Linked DNA regions of Rhinolophus ferrumequinum. The protein of the gene in region 2 interacts with the protein of the main gene of each other region in a biochemical or structural test. Links are inferred from orthologs where the notes say so. Each region holds a gene or a part of one and is shown on either strand. Other genes may lie near its edges. The genes, in order: NOTCH2 and JAG1.

Evidence for each region.
Region 1: the proteins of JAG1 (region 2) and NOTCH2 form a complex in vitro, tested with the Homo sapiens proteins (2 studies listed by BioGRID). The link is inferred for Rhinolophus ferrumequinum from reciprocal best matches to the Homo sapiens genes JAG1 and NOTCH2.

The regions. Positions count from the first base shown.
Region 1 is NC_046305.1:49,115,352-49,124,358, forward strand, and holds the start of NOTCH2 (neurogenic locus notch homolog protein 2), read right to left. Parts: upstream 3,712-9,007; 5' UTR 3,142-3,711; coding exon 3,069-3,141; intron 1-3,068. UniProt on the Homo sapiens protein: Functions as a receptor for membrane-bound ligands Jagged-1 (JAG1), Jagged-2 (JAG2) and Delta-1 (DLL1) to regulate cell-fate determination.
Region 2 is NC_046306.1:31,352,607-31,362,479, forward strand, and holds the start of JAG1 (protein jagged-1), read right to left. Parts: upstream 4,381-9,873; 5' UTR 3,905-4,380; coding exon 3,824-3,904; intron 3,416-3,823; coding exon 3,110-3,415; intron 1-3,109. UniProt on the Homo sapiens protein: Ligand for multiple Notch receptors and involved in the mediation of Notch signaling. May be involved in cell-fate decisions during hematopoiesis. Seems to be involved in early and late stages of mammalian cardiovascular development.

The DNA.
Region 1 (9,007 bases), on a different chromosome or scaffold from region 2:
GGTATGATATTTTTAAAATGTATTGTAATGCTGCTCTGAAGCACCCAAGCATATCCCACTGAATTTAAACATTTTTCTAAAGGTCCCGAAGTCAGCAACTACAGTTCAGGTGAACCAGAAGTTACTCCTCCATGCCACAAGAATCCTACAGAAGAGGCAGTAGAGAGGGAATGGGGCTGACAGATGCCAAGGAGATGTGAGTAGATATTTTTAAAAATCAAACCATCAGGAAACAGAAAAGAGAGACTAGAAATAATCCCTCTCTTTCCTATCCTTCTCTCCCCACCCCCAAAACGAATAATACTATAGAAAGAACAAGAAAGATAAAGGAAAATAGTTTTGGGATGAATTTCATCTCCATCTGGAAAAAAAAAAAACGCACACACAACAACAGTTACTCTTTGTGATTTTTTTTTTTTTTTTAAGCAAGGGAAGAATGTGGCTGAGAAATTATCTAGCAGGCTGTAAAACCAGGGAGTCACTTCACATTGCACAGCAAAAGAAAACAAGGAGAAAAGGGTGGTCTTGGATAGCTGTTTAGACAATCAGACAGATGGGTTGACAGCTCTTTGCTTTAGGAACTCAGTGATGTTTAAATTAACAATTGGCCACAAGCCAAACGCAGGAACACTCAAAAGTTGGGAAGGGTGTGTTACAATTGGTACCTTGGCAAAACACAAATGATAGTAGAAGATTAAGAAGACTGAAGAAGGCTTCACTGCCAGACTCTGAAAAAGGTTTAAGATTTGTACTAAGAAACAAGTTTCTAATCTCTTCTATTGCAGTTTAGCACCAGAAGAACACCTGCCTAAAAATCAAAATATTTAAATCTTGTCCTTTGAACTAATTGACTAACACTCAATTTGTCCACCTAAAAGTTAGTCATAGCAATACCTCATCAGTGCAGAAGTATAAAAAAGGATGTCTTTCTATATACTGAGGTTCTAGAATGAGAGAAGGCTGACATCCGTCTTATCATTTCACACTTAATTTTGCAAATCTCTGCAATCATATTTCTTATTCCCTCCAACTGTCTGAAATAGGTTGCTTCTGTATTTCTATTCCATAGGTGAGGAGCCTACAAATCATGAAGGTTGAGTTCTTTACTAAAACAAGTTAGTGGTAGACCAAGGATTGTAACTCTCAAACTAACCCGTTGTTTATACTCCTCTCTATCCTAAATCTAGACTTATACTAAAGCTTTCCACTCAAAGAAAAAGGAAAGGCAAAAACACCATTTACGTGCTTTGTTAAATGCTTCTGAAACAACAGTTTCGATCATCATCACATCAGCCCCTGGCCCACTTCTTAAATTCTTAGGGACCTAGAGTTGTATGGAATATGAACTTCCCAAGGACCTACTGTGTTTCCTGGAAAATAAGACCTAGCCGGACAATCAGCTCTAATGTGTCTTTTGGAGCAAAAATTAATATAAGACCCAGTCTTATATTATGTTAGATAAGACCGGGTCTTATAGTAAAATAAGACCGGGTCTTATATTAATTGTTGCTCCAAAAGACGCATTAGAGCTGATTAACCGGCTAGGTTTTATTTTCAGGGAAACACAGTCGTTGGTGCTGAACAGCCCAGCACGGTGATAAATAACCTTGTTCTCTTTCCAACATCGATGATGGACAGGTCCCCCGCCTGTTGCAAGTGAACAAAGAGCAAATTTTTCTGAAGCTCATCATCTTCTTAACCTTTTCTTTGTAAAGAGACATAGCTCATGTACCAGTTTTTTGGTCAAGGTAAAATACTCCTTCATATTAGGCTAGGAAAAGCAGGGGCCGCTTGCGGCTTCACAAACAGACACAAGCTATCATCCCACTGGAAGCAGAGATTCAGAGAAAACCAAAACCCAGCCCTGCCCTTTCGGAACACCTTTTGACTGCCATGGGTTTAATACACCATTCTCTTGAGGAATCCTATTAGCTGGGTAATTTCATTCCCATTTTATTGGGGGCGTTCATAGAGCGGAGCTGGATTTGAACCCAGGATTATTTATGAAGCTCCAAAACCCAAGCGCCTTCCACTACCCGGTCGGAGGAAACTTGGAATCTGAAATTGTGGGTGGGATGGGTAAGGAATGACTGCATTTCCTTTCCTTGGTCCAACCGCGTTCAGAAATTGTCGCACATATCCAACCCGAAAGAGGCCTGCGAAGGCAGCACTTTGAATGACCCTCTCCACTGTTCCTCACCCACCCATGCCCCACCCCCAACCTGCCAAAAGAGCAGCAAATCCGGCTGCCAGGTTAGAGGAGTTGGTGATCGTCACACCACATTCCTGGGGCTGGACACAGACCGCAATAGCGCCTGAGCTGCGCGCCTCGGAAAGAATAACAGCAGTTGAGATTTTTAAATCCTGTGGCCCAGCGTGCAGCCCCACCAGTTCTCCTACTGTTCCTGCCTCCACCTTTCAAAGGCCCCGTGCAACACATCGGATTCGTCCCGCCCGTGGATTCGGAGTGTCAGACTCGGGCGCCCCGCGAAACCCTGGCCCCATCCAAACCGACCCCACCCACCCGGACTGCGTGCCTCCCCTTTGGCACAGCTACTGGTGGCCGTGAAGGTGCAAGCCGTTGGGCTGGGAGGCCCTGCCCTCGCCGACCCCCCCACGCCAGAACCTGGCATTCCTCCGCTCAGCCCCTTTGCGGTCGGCGGCCAGCGGGGGTTTGTCGCAGGCAGCCCGCCCTCGGTTCCCCTTCAACCCCAGGAAACGCGGAACCAAAAGGGCAAGACTGCCCAACTCCTAGAACTCCAGCGCCCACGAAGGGGAGTTTCTGAGCCTCGCTGCCCGGCCTCCCTCCGGCCAAGGAGGCGTGTGTGGGGCCACCGGCCGCAGGGAACAGGCGGCGGCGGGGAGCGCGGGGGCAGGGGCGCGCTCAGGGGGCCCCCACGATGCCCCAACTTTCTGGAACCCAGTGGCCTCAATCCGCGCCGGCGGCAGAGCCCGGCCTTCTCGCACGGAGGGGACCAAAGGGGGGGACCGGGCGCCCCAGATGGCCGGGCGGGGGCGGCGGTGCGCGACCAGGGCGCGGGGACAGCACCCCCGGGCCCGATACTCACCACGCGCAGGGGCCGCGCGGCACAGCCAGAGCGCCAGCAGCGCCCACAGCCGCGCGGGGTGCAGGGCGGGCATCTTCTCGGTCGCCTCCTCCGCCGCCGCCGCCGCCTGGGCAGATCCACATGGAGAGGGGGTCCCAACAGAGGAGCCCCCACTTTCTGCGCTCCTCCTCCCGCCCCGGTGGCGCCCGGCCTCGCGCTGGCCCCGAAGCTCAGGCTAGACGCCTCCACTCCCCGCACCCCGAGTCAGCCGTGCCCGGGACGCCGCCTCAGCCGCCGCCCGAAGTTCGGCTCTAACTTTCTCGAGTGTGCAGTCTCGTGTGTCCTTCCGCCTCGGCCGCCTCCTCCCACCGCAAACCCCGCCCCCTGCCGCCCAGGCCGGCGGCCGCCTGCGGCGCCCAGGGGTTTCCCGCAGGAAGAAGCGCCGGCCGAGCCGCGCGCGGAGGGATCTACTACGAGTCCTCAGCCTCGGCCGCCGGCCCGGCCCGCGTCGAGTCCCGACGCGCCTTAACGCCTTCAGCGCTGGAGCGCCTCGCTGGGCCCGGCCTCTGCCAACAGGGGTGGGTGTTAGGACGCTGAACTTCAGACGCTAGGGGCACTGAGATCGTGAACTTGCCCGGAGAGCCGGCCCTCATCCAGGGAGCCAGGGATCGCCCGTGTCACACACACACACACATCCACACACCCCGGGGTGGCCGGAGGAATGCGGCGGACGGCCTGTGCTGTCACAGAAGGAAATGGGGGCCAGGGCGCCAAAGCCCATTTAAAATGAACAGAGCCATCAGCTGGGTTGTGCTGCCTCATTCATTCATTCATTCATTCATTCATTCATTCTTCACGCATTCATTCACTCGTTTAGCAAATGTTTCTTAAGCGCCTTACTTTGCTGGGCACCGTAGGAATGGTACTAAAGTCTCATGATGCTCAAGCTACTTTTGAGGATTTAGACGTTGCTGCAGTGGGTAGGCTTTCATGGAAGAACTGGGATGAGAGCAGGATTTTGAAAGGTTAGGAAAATTTGTAAGGACGAGGAGAGCAGCTACGGATATTCATTGTAACATTGTTGGCAATACCAAACATGGGGAACAGCCTCAATGCCCACCCATAGAGGAAAGGATGGATAATGTATCGTATATTTAGAAAATAAAATACACAGCAATTGAAAGAGCATGTTCATATACGCCAATAGAAATACATTTCAAAAATAAAATGGTAGTGAAAAAACCAATTGCACAAGGAGATATAAAGTATACCATGTATATCTATTTATATTTCAAAACAATGCCATAGATTATTTATGAATGCACACCACACAGTATATAGTAAAAGAATATAACCAGCATAGCGGTTACTTCCAGCGCAGGAGAATGAGGGATGGAATCAGGCATGCGTACAAGTGGGCTTGGTTTTTGTAAGAAAAGAGTTGAAATAAATCCAAGAAAAAGTTGGTGTGGCCGTAACATTCTCCTCTGGGAGAGCCCCCATAAAAGGGTACAGATAAGGGAAGAAGTAGATGAGTTCTGGCACTATTCGCAGTGACAGGAGTCAAGGAGGGAAAGGGGGTCGGGACCAGGACCCTGAACGACAAGCTGAAAAAGAGGGAGGGGTGGGTAGGAAGGGGGGATAGTTATCTCTCAGGTCATAGAAAAACCATTGAAGGTCTTCGCACAGGAGTGAGACTTGATGGAAAGGAAGGTTGCTCTGATAATCCTGCGCAAAATTGTCAGGCGCAAAAGGTGAACGAACGGGAGTCCGAGGGCTAGTGAGGAGTTTGTGAAACAGTCCAGGCGGGCATGGCTGATGAAGGCCTGCACTACTGAGGTAGATGTCAAAATAGAAAGGGAGGGATGGACTGGGGACAATCTCGAAGAAAAAGAAAAAGGAAAAGACGCGGGTGGGGCAACCCAATGTGACTAATTGGATGTGGAGGTTTACGATCCTGTCGGGAAGGGAAATCCTACCCACAGAGCCTCTCCCGGGCTCCTAGAGGACAAAGTCCAAACTTCTAAAAATGGTCAATACAAGGCCTTCCCTTCCCTGGGCCCCCTCGCTTGTCCCCTCTGCCCCATTGTGAACTTTACACAATAACAGTATTGCATGAGTTGAGATTCCCCCCCAAACATATCTCCTTCCTTCAGTCTCTGTACCTTCTGTTCCCTTGACGCGGAATGACTTGTAGTCCCCTCCCCTCCTCCTCTTGAACTTCTAATCATTTATCCTTCAGCCCTGAGAAGGCTTTGCCGACCTTGTAACCAATTCCTACCTCGGACAGACAGTCCCTCCACTGTCCTGCTTCTTTATCTGACACTCATCTCTATTTTTCACACAGGACTGTCTGTATTTCTATCTTTTCCTCTAGATCAGGAGGTCCCGACGGGTAAGGCCCACGGCCTCATTCGTTCCCAGAGCCCAGCCCATAATAGATGTTGAACTAGAAGGTAAAATGGCACTGAACAAGCACAAAGCAGTATGATCAGCGGCCTCTGAAGTTCCCAACCGGATTTTCATAAGCACTTTATAATAGATAAGCAAGTGTTATGAGTGAAACTAGTCACCTTGGGATGCTAGAAACTCTTTGCAAAAACAACACAGTCCAATTGTTTTGGAATTTCCCTTGTGCAAATATGTTCAGAGAAAGATAATAACAGGACGGTTTAGCTGCTGACTGATAGTTACCAGCTTGATCGTTCTCTTTCCTCACTAAATATAGTTCGTAGTGACTTGGCTGTATACAAATTTTAAAAACCACCTACAAAGATTAAATTTGTCCCTATTGAGATATATTCAGAAGGATGTAAATGTCATCATCCCCAAAGAGCAGGTCTGGAAACGACTGGCTGTGACATCACTATGACAATAGGTGCGGAATTTCTCAAGGTGACTCTTTGAAAGAAAGCGATCATTATGTTACATGTGTAATAACTTGTGTGGGATTTGTTATAACGTTAGACTTATTGCATACATTCCCCATAAGGACAAGGAGAGTAAAGAGTAAAATGTTATGAAGGGAAGTAGGAGAAGGGTATGATGGAGGAGATGTTTTTAAAAATATGTTTTGAAGGAAGCTATGGATATAAATTGGTAAAAAAGAAAACAAAAAAAGGGGGAGCTGAAAATCAAGGGAAGAAACTGGAATTGACAAAGACTGAGAGTTGAGAACCAGTAAGTCAACTGGCATTTGGATGAGTATTTACTGTGGGCCAGTTCTGGTATGAGCAGTCCAGGGATAAAGCCAGAAAGATGAGTAATCAACAATTAAGACCCAGTGTGACAGCTGAGGGACTGTGACCTGTCTCCGCCCAGGGGCAATCAGGGAAGGCTTCCGGGAAGATCTCAACAGCTGGTCTAAGAAGTAGAGGACCAAACGATTAATCAGGTAAAGAGGAAGAGGAGACTTCTCCTGTTCAGTGGCCTAAACTCTTCCAGGCAGATTCTGGGGTCCATATCAAGCTTAGGTTGAGCTACACCACGCATCTCAGCACATAACCCAGGGATGTGTGATGAAGTGTTTGCCGAAGCAGGAATTAAAAGAGAGCTTTCTTTGCAACAAGTACGGAGGCTGGTGAACAATAGAGACCAGAGCCTGTTCCCTAAAGTGGGAAGGCAAGGACTTAGGCAGGGGCCGTGGGAATGCAGAAAAGCCGGGCTTTGGCTCCTAAAGTTAGTACCCACTTAGATGAGAGAGGAAAGGTGGATGGGCCATCAGCAATGACTTCCATATCCTGAGGCTTGGTGAGCTACTCCCGGATATAGAAAACACAGGAGAAGGAAAAGGAGGTTTGGTAGATTAAATAAGCAGGCAAGATAAGAAATCGATGGAGCTGGAAGAGGGAAACTGCGTTCTCCAGAAGCAGCAGTGGCTGTTGACTGCTTTTGCGAGAGCTGGAGGAGCCTGACTGATTTAAAGGATGGAACCGCGTTGAAATAGGCTTCCTACTACTGAGCTCTCCCGCAAGCTAAGCCTAAATTCCACTATGTGCGTTTAGGTGACTGGTTCCCCGATCCCTAGCAGAAATCAGGGGGTCTTGTGGTGCTGTCTCAAAACAGGAGTAGCAGCTGAGGCCATGAAATGTCAGGATGTGCCTGGAGATTTCAGGCCCAAACGTGCTCTGCAGTTTTAACGGCTCAACTGGAGTGCGGAATGGTTTTCCCCATAGACACTGCTTTGAGTCAAAGCAAGTTCTACTTTATAGGAGAAATTGGCAGGAAAACTACCAGGTGATCCTATAACTAATCACAGTGATTGCTCTTCAAGTTCCATAGCTTCACTGATCTGGAAAAAAATTTTTTTTTCTCAATCTCCAAGCTCACATTAAAATCTACAGACTATTAATAATAGAAAACATGAATAAGGGCCACCCCTAGTTTTCGTTGTAGTTGAAACTGAAAATATGCATGTATGTCTTTATTAATTAAAATTCACATGTAAAGTTGTCTCCCCAAGACAAATGCAGAATTGGCACTTACTTTGTTCTCATGTCTGTTCTCTCAGACCCAGGAGGCTGTAAAACCCCTCAAGGGCAGAGAGACTGTGTTATTTGTCTATTTTGCCTCAGTTCCTAGCACGGTCGTTCGTGCACAGACGTGCACAACAATGTGAGTTTTAAATAAACGTGGAATGAGGGGCGTGTATAGCCGTGTGAATTGGAGAGCGTGACAGAATGTCCAGGGGTTCTGGAGCATTCCAGGATGCATCAGGTAAACACTATAGATGTTGCAGAACAGATTCTGGGGTCCACATCAAGCCTAGGTTGAGCTACTCCACACGTCTCAGCACATAACCCAGGAACCCAGCGGTGTGTGATGAAGTGTCCAGGGACACAGGAATGAAAAGAAAGGTTTCTTTGCAAAACAATGCCTTCCATTTGTGCAGTGCTTTAGGCTTTCTAAAAAACACTTTTAAGTTATTATCTCATTTGATTCTCAAAGCGATCGTGGGAAATAGCCAAGCCAGTCATTATTATCCCCATTTCCCAGATGAGGAAACTGAGAGTTTAGGTGTCTTGCCTGAGGTTGAATAAGTAGTTAGTGACAGAGCTGAGACAAACCCCCCTACGTCTGACTTCTGATTCAGTCTCAGTCCACGGTTTCTTTCTGCAACAGAGTGACGCTCGTCCAAGACAATTTTTAGTGTAGGAACCTCTGGGCAAAGGTCCACCAGCTTCTTATCACTGCCATATTGGTACAGAACAAGCTGACCCACTGTCATTAGAAATGCATTCTTTGATTTAATGGAATTGTGAGGGAGTCTACCCTCTGCAAAGCACACCCTTGACTGTGGCAATACAGACATGAACCAGCTGCAGCTCCTATTCTCAGGAGATCACAGTGCACAGTGGAGGGTGGGGGTCAACAGATAAACAATATAACTACAACAGAGACAACGCACAGAGCCATGGGACAGTGGACAGCACTGTGGTTAATTCTAAGGCCACTTTCATTTTGTCCTGTCCCCAGCCTGCAAGATCTGAATGGACCGAGGTGGCCTGCGGGGTCTCTGGTCCCGCTCCCCACGTAAGAACGCAGGACATGGTGAGGCCAAAAAGAACACCCACGGAGCCATAGATGGGGGAGTCATACCACTATAGTCTCGCTGGCGGCTGGGCTGGAGACACAGGAAACAGGAGCCACACGATCTGCAACCCACCGTCCACTTCGCTCTGACAACCAACCCCACTTGCTAGCTGCAATCCGCGCTTGCTAGCTCAGCCACCGTCTTCTTGCTAGCCCCCCTTTTCCTGCTAGTATAGCCACAGCAGTTATATTAGTGGCCAATGGCTCACTGGTTACAGCTGACGGCCAACTAGCCACAGCTGATGGCCATCCAATCACAGTTGATGGCCATTTACTACCTGAGCCAGCACCTTTCCACATGAGGCCGAGAGCCTGGAAACTGCACTCCTGGCTCTGTCCCCACACCCCTGGACTATAAACAGTGTGAC
Region 2 (9,873 bases):
CCCCTGGCAGTTGCTCATTCTGGCCTTAGAAGTGTGAAGAAGGCCAAAGCTGACATCCCTCTGGTATGCAGCAATCACACTTCATTGGCTTTTCCTAAAAAAATTAAGTTGATCTCAGCAAGCCGTTTATCAGTGCCAATGGCATTTAAATAGGAGGCCGTGAGACTAGATACCTCAATTGCTTCCCCCAAAGTTCTTCTAGATTCTTTTCACCCTAGGGCCAGCAATGCATCACTATAGCTAACCAGGGTTCTGAGTTCCTGAAAAGCTTTTGGGAACGGGCCGTGGTAATTACACTAAGGTATTTTTAATAAACAGGCACTACTGGGATTTAGCACTAAGTTTGGGAGGGGACACATAACCATTTCAGTGATTTATAAATGGTTATTCCCAAATTAGTTCCCATTCAGCCCAATTACCCTCTCACCACGTATGTTCTTATCACTGAGTCCCCAGATTGGAGGATCATAAATCAGGCTAGCTGCTTCAAGTCAAGCCCCTTGGGAGCAGCACTGGTATGGTGATTAGGAGCCACCAATGGAAACTACCCCAGGACTGGAGCTGGGGCAGTGGACACCAAGTGGGACATAATCTGGTACTATCCAGTGGGCAGCCCCACCTCTACAGAGCTGCCCACATGGACACTGGGTGGGGGATTATATTTCATGTCTAACCAAATCATTTCCTCCTCTTCCTCTCCAGAACATGAACAGTTAGTTGTTTGACTGGGGTTGTAATTCCAAACAAGACATGAATTATACAACTTTCTCAACTGAACTTCTACCATGCTCTCTGAACCACAGCAAATTTGGGAGGACCCTGCTGACAGAAATTGTGGCTGCCTAAACCATATATCCTGTGAATCTTGAATTCTGTACCAAGTTCAGTTATTAACTACTCAAGGAAATCAGTTTTAAATAGACACGCTTATTAATATTTAGTTGCCAAACTGAGTGAAGCTGTGCTTATTTACTTCCATACTTATTTGTCTACCTGAGTGCTTTCACGTCAGTTAACACTCACCCTGGAATCATTCTTGAAAAGGTACAGACTGGTGTTTCTCCAACCGCACTCAGGAAAATAAACTAAAACAATACACCTAAACTCCGGTTTCTCTTTGGAAGTAAAGCTTGTATTTCACAGCAGGCCTTTTTGGTGTAGCAGGGTGGAGACTTGTTTATGAGTGATACATGCATTTGGCCCAGCTTCAAAAGAACCACACTCTCAGTGTAGCCCCAGCAGTCTCCCCCATTCTAGAAAGTCTATTTCATGGTTGGTGACCCGTGGGCCTGAAACCACAGACCAGCATCAGGAAATCAATCATCTCTCTGCCCTCACACGCTGCTTCCACTCCACTCCTTCCCCATCCAGGCCTCTCTGCCAAGTGTCAAAAGGGGAAAGACACACCTTCTAGGTCACTTTCCCCAGCCAGCCTGGGGAGCGAGCAAGACTCTGTTTTCATCCATGCCTCCCTCTGACCCTCTTCTCCAAAATGAACCTCAGCCAGGCCTGCAGCTTTTCCATATCACTACTAGGACTCCTTTTATGGTCTTGAGGAAAGTGAGGGGGCTCAGACTGATCCTTCAGCGGGTGGAACCACGTGCAGAACCCTTCCCCCTGAACTCCAAACAGGTTACATTCAAGGGCAAACAGTATTCACAGTCAGATTAAAAATGTGGCGCACCTCTTTAGCTTCAAGTTTTCCCTAATAGGGGATTAACAGACAAGATAAACACGCTCTGTAAAAATGAAATCCCACAACAGAAGCAGCAGCCCCTATTGTCAGAGAACTCCCCATACCACAAGTTTTTATAAGCCCCTTTTAATGGCATGTTTCTGATAACTGTCTTATCTCCTCCACAGCAGAGAGCACTTTACAACGCTAGTTTCTGTAAACGTGGGCCTTGAGGGCCACCCCAAGCTTCACACACAAGACAGACACTCTCCCCTGTTCTCAGAGTTGGGAATCACAGCCCCAGGCTGCGGATAGGAGGCAGCCTAGTGCACCCCATCAGAGCACGTGGCAGAGAGTATTCCCCGCGGCACTGAGCTCCCCCTCCCCTCACCACCCACCCTCTCAGCACAGGCTGAGCCCAGCCCCAATCCTATCAATGAGTCACGCCTCCTGGACAGGAGGAGCAGGGCAGAGGGCACCAACATTTTTCCCTTTCCTCCCCTTCTGCAATCGCGCCCCATCTTCCTTCCAACCATTTCGGGATGTCGCAAGGGCCTTGCTGCACGTTCAGCCAGTGCGGGCCCGGGCCTTGAGCAGCAATCCGGCGCGGGTCCACGTACTGGCACCCGCAGGGACTGCCTCCAGCGGGCCGCCCCTTCCAGGCCCTGGCACGCCCCCGAAAGCTTGAGGGGGCCGCGCGCCCGCCGGACTAGGGCGCACCCCCGCCCTTCCCCGGGAAGTTTGCAAACACAGCTGTTCCAGAGCCCGGGAACCGCTGGAAATAAGGCCACAAGGATACACCGCGCGGGGGCGAGGGCAGGAAGGGGCCGGCAGGGGGCGGAGGCTCCCCGGGCAGCAGCTCGGAGAAGGCCCGAAGAACCACCCCCACCTCCGGGGGCCGCCCCCGCGCCCTTGCGCCTAGCCCGAAGCGCGCCCCCGCACGCACCAAAATCTCCTGGGGAGCAGCGGGAAACGGGTTCCCTCCACACCCTCCAGGAAGGACACACCCGCCCTCCGGGCCGTTCACGGGAAAGGGGAGGGTGCCAATTTGGACCGCGTTCGAAGGCCAGAATTGAGCCAAGTCGCCTTCAACGGCGCATCAGGTTTAATCGATTAAGCAAAGATCATCTATAATGACTCCTGGCTCGTGTGGGGGGAGCGTTATTCTGGGGCCTCCAAGTTGCAAGTTGAAACTGCTTTCCGTGGAGCTTTGCCCCACAATCTCTGGAGTCCCCACTTTTGTGCGCTTCGCAAAAAGCGGCGGGGATGGGGCCTGCCGAATGTTGCTGCGTAACTCCCCACCTTAAAAATCTTCCCGAGTTAGCGCCGCGTTTCAAGCCAAGGCCCTTATATCCCTCTCCCAACAGAAAGCAGCGCTCCGCAGGCGCGGGTGCGAACCTTGCTCCGGCCTCCCACCCAGCGTCCGTCACTCACCGGCCAGGCGAAACTGAAAGGCAGAACGATACGGTTGCGTTCATTGCCGCGACTGGCCTTGAGATTGAAGGTGTTGCCCCCGATGACAGGAGTGGACCCGGAGCCGAAGCTGCACGGCCCCCCGGCCGTGACGCGGGACTGGTACTCCTTGAGGCACACTTTGAAGTATGTGTCACACTCGTCGCGGGCGCACTTGCGGTCCCCCGGATTTCGGGCGCCACCGCAGCAGTTCCCGTTCTGCAGCTCCCCATTCACATTCTGCATGGACAGGATCTCTAACTCGAACTGGCCGGAGGCTCCGCATACCTGCCGGCAAGGGAGGGAGGTCAGCACGGGGGAAAGCTTCCTTCGAGGAGACCCCCTCCCCGCCCGCCCCGACAAGCCCTCGGTACCAAGTGAAAATAATTTTGCAAAACTGGGAGCAGGACTCAACGCGATTCCCAAGCAGAGAACGCACGAGTACAAGAAAAATCCGACGACTGCCCCGGAGGACTAAGAGCGGAGAGAACGCGCCCCGTGCCCGGGCTGGACGATACATTTAGGAGGCCGGGGGCTCCCCCAGCTCAGGTGCAGCCTCGCGGGAGCAGGAGCACGGTCGGGGAGCCAGGCGACCGAGGGCTCCTGACCCCGCTCGCGGCGCTCAACCGCAGGCGTCCAGGGCGCCGCTAAGGAAAAGAGAGGGCGGGCCGGGAGGGAGGCCCAACGGGCTCCTACCTTAGCTCGCAGGGCACAGAGCAGAGCGAGCAGGAGGCTCAGGGGGCGCCCGGGCCGGCCGCGCGTCCGTGGGGACCGCATCGCTGCTCTGCGCGCCGCGGGCTCTCGGGACGCCGCTGCCGCCGCTGCTGTTCGCGCTGGTGTTCCCGCCGGTGCTGCCGTCGCCGCTGCCCCTGCGGCCGCCGCGTCCCGGCTCTAATATACTCCGCCGATTGGAGCATGCACGACTGGAAAACAACACCACTTTTCAAAAGCCTTTTCACGAGCGGCCCGTTCCAGAAGGCAAAGAGCCCGGCCTCCTTTTATTATTCTGATCGCTTCTTTGAGGCGCTCCCCCTCCTCTTCCACCTCCCGGCTTTCTTTCCTTCTCTCGCGTTCCCCTTCTTTTATTATTATGATTATGCGCAGCCTTTTATTCCCTTTCAGATCAGCTGCACAGAAAGGAGGGAGGGAGGGGAGAAAAAAAAAAAACCCTAGCCCAGCTCGCTGGCCGGCCGCAGGTAACACAATGACGCGTGCCCGCCCGGCTCTCGGAGAGGGACTCGGAGAGCCCGTCTGGGAGCCGAGGCCGGGACTAGCCACCTTTACCCAGCGCGCCCGGCAGGCGCATGCGCGCTTGTTAATATTCATGAGGGGCGTGTCCTGGAGGGACACGCCCCTTCCCTCCGGGTTGATGGGTAGGGGGAGTACTGGGAGGAACTTGGAAGGGGTTGGGGGCTCTGGGACTCGCAGCACCTTTTCGACGTCCGGGGGCCCAGTGCAGACCCCCGCCCTCGGGCTCTGGGGGCCAGGCGGGAAGGAGGGGAGGGTGCGGCGAAGAACTTAGAACTGTCTGTTGCTCAGGGACGTCCTGGCCCCACCCGCGCGGACCTCCCCCCTCGGGCGCCTCCAGCCGGGCGCCTCTGCCCGGCCGTCGGGGCCCCAGGTGTAGGCGCCGCGACGCTGCCCGAGCGGTCGGACCGGGGCAGCTTCCGCCTTCCGAGCCGCCTGCGTCAGCTGCGGCTTTCGCCCCAGGAGGGCCTGCCCGCGGGGAGCCCGGCCCGCTTCCCGCGAGCGAGCTAGCCGCCCAGAGCGCGCTGCTGGCGAGAGCAGCGGCAGAGGTGGCGGCGGCGGTGAGGCTGGCGCTCTGGCCGCCGTCTGCTCGCCCGGCGGAGGCGACCTGGGCAGGCGCTGCTGGGAACTTTGAAAAACTTTCCCGGAGCCAGGCTTGCCGCAGATTCGAGGGGAAGCCTTGGCCGCGCCCAACCCCCTCCCTAATCCGAGCTGCGGAGCCTTGGAGGGCTCTCGGCTTCCTTTCCAAGCCGCACAAGAGCAGAGGCGAGGGGAAACCGGGGGAGGGAGGCAGGCACGCAGGGGCCCTGCTCGGGCTTTGGGAGGGGTAGGCCGAGATAGTGGCAGGCTTGGGCTCACACCCTCCCAGCTCCGCGGCCCAGGCCGCGCAGTGCCGGGATTGCACCTGTAGGCGGCCTCCGAGCAGCTTTCTGGGTGGCAAGAGATGAGCCTGAAAGGGACCATCTCGCCACCATCGCCCGGCAGCAGAACTTGGCTTCTCTGGGGTGACAGTGTAAACTAATGCTACTTTCCACCTTGAGGCGAGCCTCCCAATTAACAGCGACACTCCGGGTCATAACCAAGGTCAAAGGAAACCTGTGGGCTGGCCGAATCCTCTCCCAACCCCTCTCCTAGCGGACCTGCTGCTGCGTTTGAGGGGACCTCTTTAGGGAAAAGACTGATTTCCACTAAAGAGTGGGCTGGACAGTCTTGGTCCTTGTATTGGGTACGTACTACGGAAAAGCGTGACTATTTAGGATGGTTTAGGAATCTTGGAATTTCAACAGTCCAAAAAGTGTACCTAAGAAACGTACCTTCTTAATGGTAATGGGTCCCATCTAATGCTCATTGGTGAGAGAATTAAAAAACCATATTTTCAAAAGGGCATATCCAAGAGCAGAACAAGTTTGCAGCTGGCATAGGCACTAGCAACCTGCGCGTTTTGTTTTAATGTGCCCAGTTCTCACTTTCTCCAATTAAACTAAATGCAAAGCATCTAGTTGTCAACTGTATTTCTATATAGCCGTTTCTTACCAGTTTCCATTAACCATCTTCCCTACCTCCACTCTGCCCGCTTCTCACCCCCATCTACAAATTTCCCCTAATTAGGGTGCTAAGTAATGGTTTAAATGCAAAATGCTGGTGCTGATAAAAGCATAATTCATGAAGGCTGGTGAGGTCTTAAAATGCAAATCCCTTGGAGTTCCCCAGGCCTGAACCTGTTTTAATTCTGTGTCCGCAGGCCTATCCTCCACACATCCCTCAGGAAGGAGGCTGTGGAGTCAGGCCTTTAGTGGAGTTTAGATCCAGCCACCTGACTTAACCCAAGAGGGCTACCTGAGAGTGCAGGTACCTCCAGGTATCTATCCATCTGGGCTGCACGTAAAGCTGGGTCGGCTCCAAGCTACAGGTGAGTTTAGCCCCCTTGACTAATAAGAATTGACCATAGATTTCCCAAGGGTCGAAACTAACAAGCCTAACAAGTGTCAAATCACTAACAAACACAAAATTCTCATGCCAAATAGCACAGTATCCCTCACCCTCCCTGAGCTTGGAAACCCACTTTTAGAGAAGACAGTTGTGGGCTTGATGGGATTCTCTGAAAATTTTCAGTTGGGACTCTTCCAACTAATTGGTACTCCCCCAAAAAGCCAGTCACATTTATTGCGACACAAGTGGAAGCTTATCCTTCACTTCCTAGCAGCCAGTTCTCAGCCTCTGTGGCGAATGGGGAACTACTGTAGAAAGAACTCAAATATGCAGATTCTCCCTTGGCCAGGTCACATCCTGCCTTTGGGTAGAGCCAAAGTAAGTGAACATTCCAGAAAAAACATTCCTGTGAAAAATGCCGCATTGAGCCATCACACCTACACCTGTGAAGAGGCAAGGCTGCAGTCAGTTACTGTCTGGCCTGTATCATGTGCTCAAACCGTAACTATCTGTGAGTATCTTCTTTAACTTTAAAAAGATGATACCTCATTTTTCTTTTTCCACAAAACTTGCCCTACTTTTATTGAGTCATCAACAAACAGCAGTGCTGAACCCCCTCCCCGACCCCCCCCAAAGGCATAATAAAAGATGTTCAAGCTCTTATGATTGTATTTAAATACAATTAGTCAACATAAAGCCCTGGTTAATCAACATTGATAAAAAGCAAATCAATATTCATTGAGAACTAGGTTATATGCACAAACGTGAATGGTCTCAAAAATATGCTGAGTGACAAGCTAAGCAAAAAAAGACTACATACTGTATGAATCCATTTGTATGGAGTTCTAGAACAGGCAAAACTAATCTATGGTAAAAAAATAAAGAGTGATTGGAGATAGAGGAGGGTGGAGACAACTGGGATGGGCTGGAGGCCTCTTGTGGGGCAGAGGTAATGTTCTGTATCTTGAGGGTTTGGGTTACACAGGTGTACAAATGTGTGTGTCAAAATTCAGTAGTACACTTAAGATTGGTGTATTTCTCATGTTCAAAAGAAAAAAAATTTGTAATATTCAAATTGACTTAATTATATGAGTGCTGAAGTGTTCAGAAGGAACTGAAAAGATTTTCAACTTGGAAATGCATTGGAATTAGATTGATGGATGCGTAGAGGATGGCTGACTAGGATAGATGCTGAAGCAAAATAAATGCTAATGATTGGATCCAGGTGGTGGGCATGGCAGTAGTTAAATTTTTTCAAATTTCTCTATGTTTGAAAATTTTCACTATAAAATGTTGAGGAAAATAGTTATTGATGGACCAGATATTGTGTAGGATGCAAAGACTATAGTGGACAACACAAAATATTGCACTACAGAGTGGAGGGCATGCTTGTAAGGGATGATAGTGCAGATTACAGTAAAGAACAAAAGGAACTTGGTTCTTTTCCTGCATTCCTTTCTTCCTAATTCCTTTCTTTTTCCAATAAATAAGAGAAGAAGGTCAAATATAAAGGGGCATGTAAATGTCCTTTAATATTTTCCCTTTTCTTTGTTTGAATATTGCAGAGACATTCAGGCAAGTTCACAAGCCCTATTCCGTGGAAAAGCAGATGTGACATCTTTCTGTCCCTTTCCAGCAAAACCAAAGGATACTGATGTGTCTGTCCTATGAGTTCTTTTCTTGTTCCACCGCATTATCATCGCCGAAAATGCCAGCCCCCATAACTCTGCCCAGCCAGTTCCCCACGGAAGCACAGCCACCTGTGGGGATTACTCTCCTTCCACATCACAAGACATTCTCAAGAAGAAGAGGGGTAAAAAATGATCTATGGGCAACAAACTAGACAAAATTAGATATTAAAAAATCAGAATTAAGTTGTAGCTCTCATAGTAACCATAACCAGGCCACAAGTTTATATATTCAAGCATAAATTGAGTAAATCCAACCTTTTTTTTTTTTTTTTCAAAGCTTCATTTTGCATACACAAGAGATTTGAATTAATTTTCTTTGGAAACCAGAACTATAAATTTTTTGTACTATCAACAGTAATTTTGTATGAGCCTTCTTTTAAATATTGTTTTGGTTTTGCTTTGAGCTCAGGTATTTATAGTTTTGTCTGTCCTGCCCCCACTCTGTCTCACGGTCATTACATGGAAACCTGTCAGGAAAAATAATTATGTGTCCACATTGGCTTTAACAAGCCAATCACAGACAGTCACAAAAGAACCCAAGATGTGAGTAAAATCCAGGAACCGTAGGACTAATTTCCTCATTTTACCCCTTGAATTAAAACTAAAGATTCTTTATGGTTTCTCATAGGTTTTTGGAGCTAGGAAGAAAAAGTTCCACTTAGAAAATGTACTTTTTTTTACAGTTGAGTCTTTGGAAATAAAAAAAATCCTGCTGTTAAATTGGCAATCTCAACACAACTGTAAATGATTCAGTCACCCTCCTCCTTGTGGTGATGGACTTAAGAGTTGTCTGTTCTGCTGTGAATGACGCCTAAATGACTTGACCCATAGATATTCTGGGATAGCATTTTTTAAAAACCAAATCGGTCCATTTGTATAGTTGATTGATCTAAATGCAACTAACAGTTGTCTATAATTTCGAAGTGTGACTGAGCACTCACAATCCTTTTCATCCCCTAAAAGGCTTTGGAGACTATACTTCCAGAAGCAGGTAGCATTGGGAAATGTAGGGGTCAGAGTGTGTGTCACTGGACTGTGCTACCCTAGAATGCAGATTATTTTGAATTGAAATAAATTAAAGCCCAACAAACTTACTTCCCCTTTTCCTTAAAGAGATTCAGATTTAAAACAAAAACAAGAAAAGCATACCTGCTTCAGGAAGGGAACTTTGGCTTAATCAGTTTAAGCATTTCCACCCTAGCATTAGTCAGGAAGACTCCAAACATATTTACCAGGTTACCCCCTGTGTCTCATTGTTTCTGAGTTGCCTAGCAAAAATTTACCTGCCCCGTGTTTACTGCTCTTCCTCAATTAGCTGTGAATCCCTCATTCTCACTTCTGAAATCTAAGACCCCGTTCCCCCCTTTTCTCCATTGTCCAAAATGTCATGTTTACCCAATGTTGCCTCACTGGCTTTGGAATTTTCATGCTTATGTTAATTCCCCCACGCGCATGTATTAAACATTTGATTTTCTCCTGTTAATCTGTCTCAATTTGATTAGCTCAGCTAGAAGAACTTAGAGTGAAAGGAAAAGTAGTTTTGTTTTTAGCCCTCATAGAAACTACCACAATACACTTCAGTCTATGAGCACCTTTTCATCTCTTTTGCATTCAGCTTTCCAAACATGAACAAACGCAAATCTGTCTCCAGATCTTTAAAAAAAATTTTTAAATCAAAGTAATTGTTGGAACTTGCAAAAAGGAGAGCTAAATATATTCAGTTATCTGAGAAAATTTCAAAACATACATAAATGCGAGAGTCAAAGAAAGGTGATTACACCTGCCAGCAACACAAAAGCCACAGGGTTTTGAATCCCTGTATTTCATGTTTGGGTTAATGGTTCTCAATAAATTACAAGACTGTGTCTGTGTTTGACA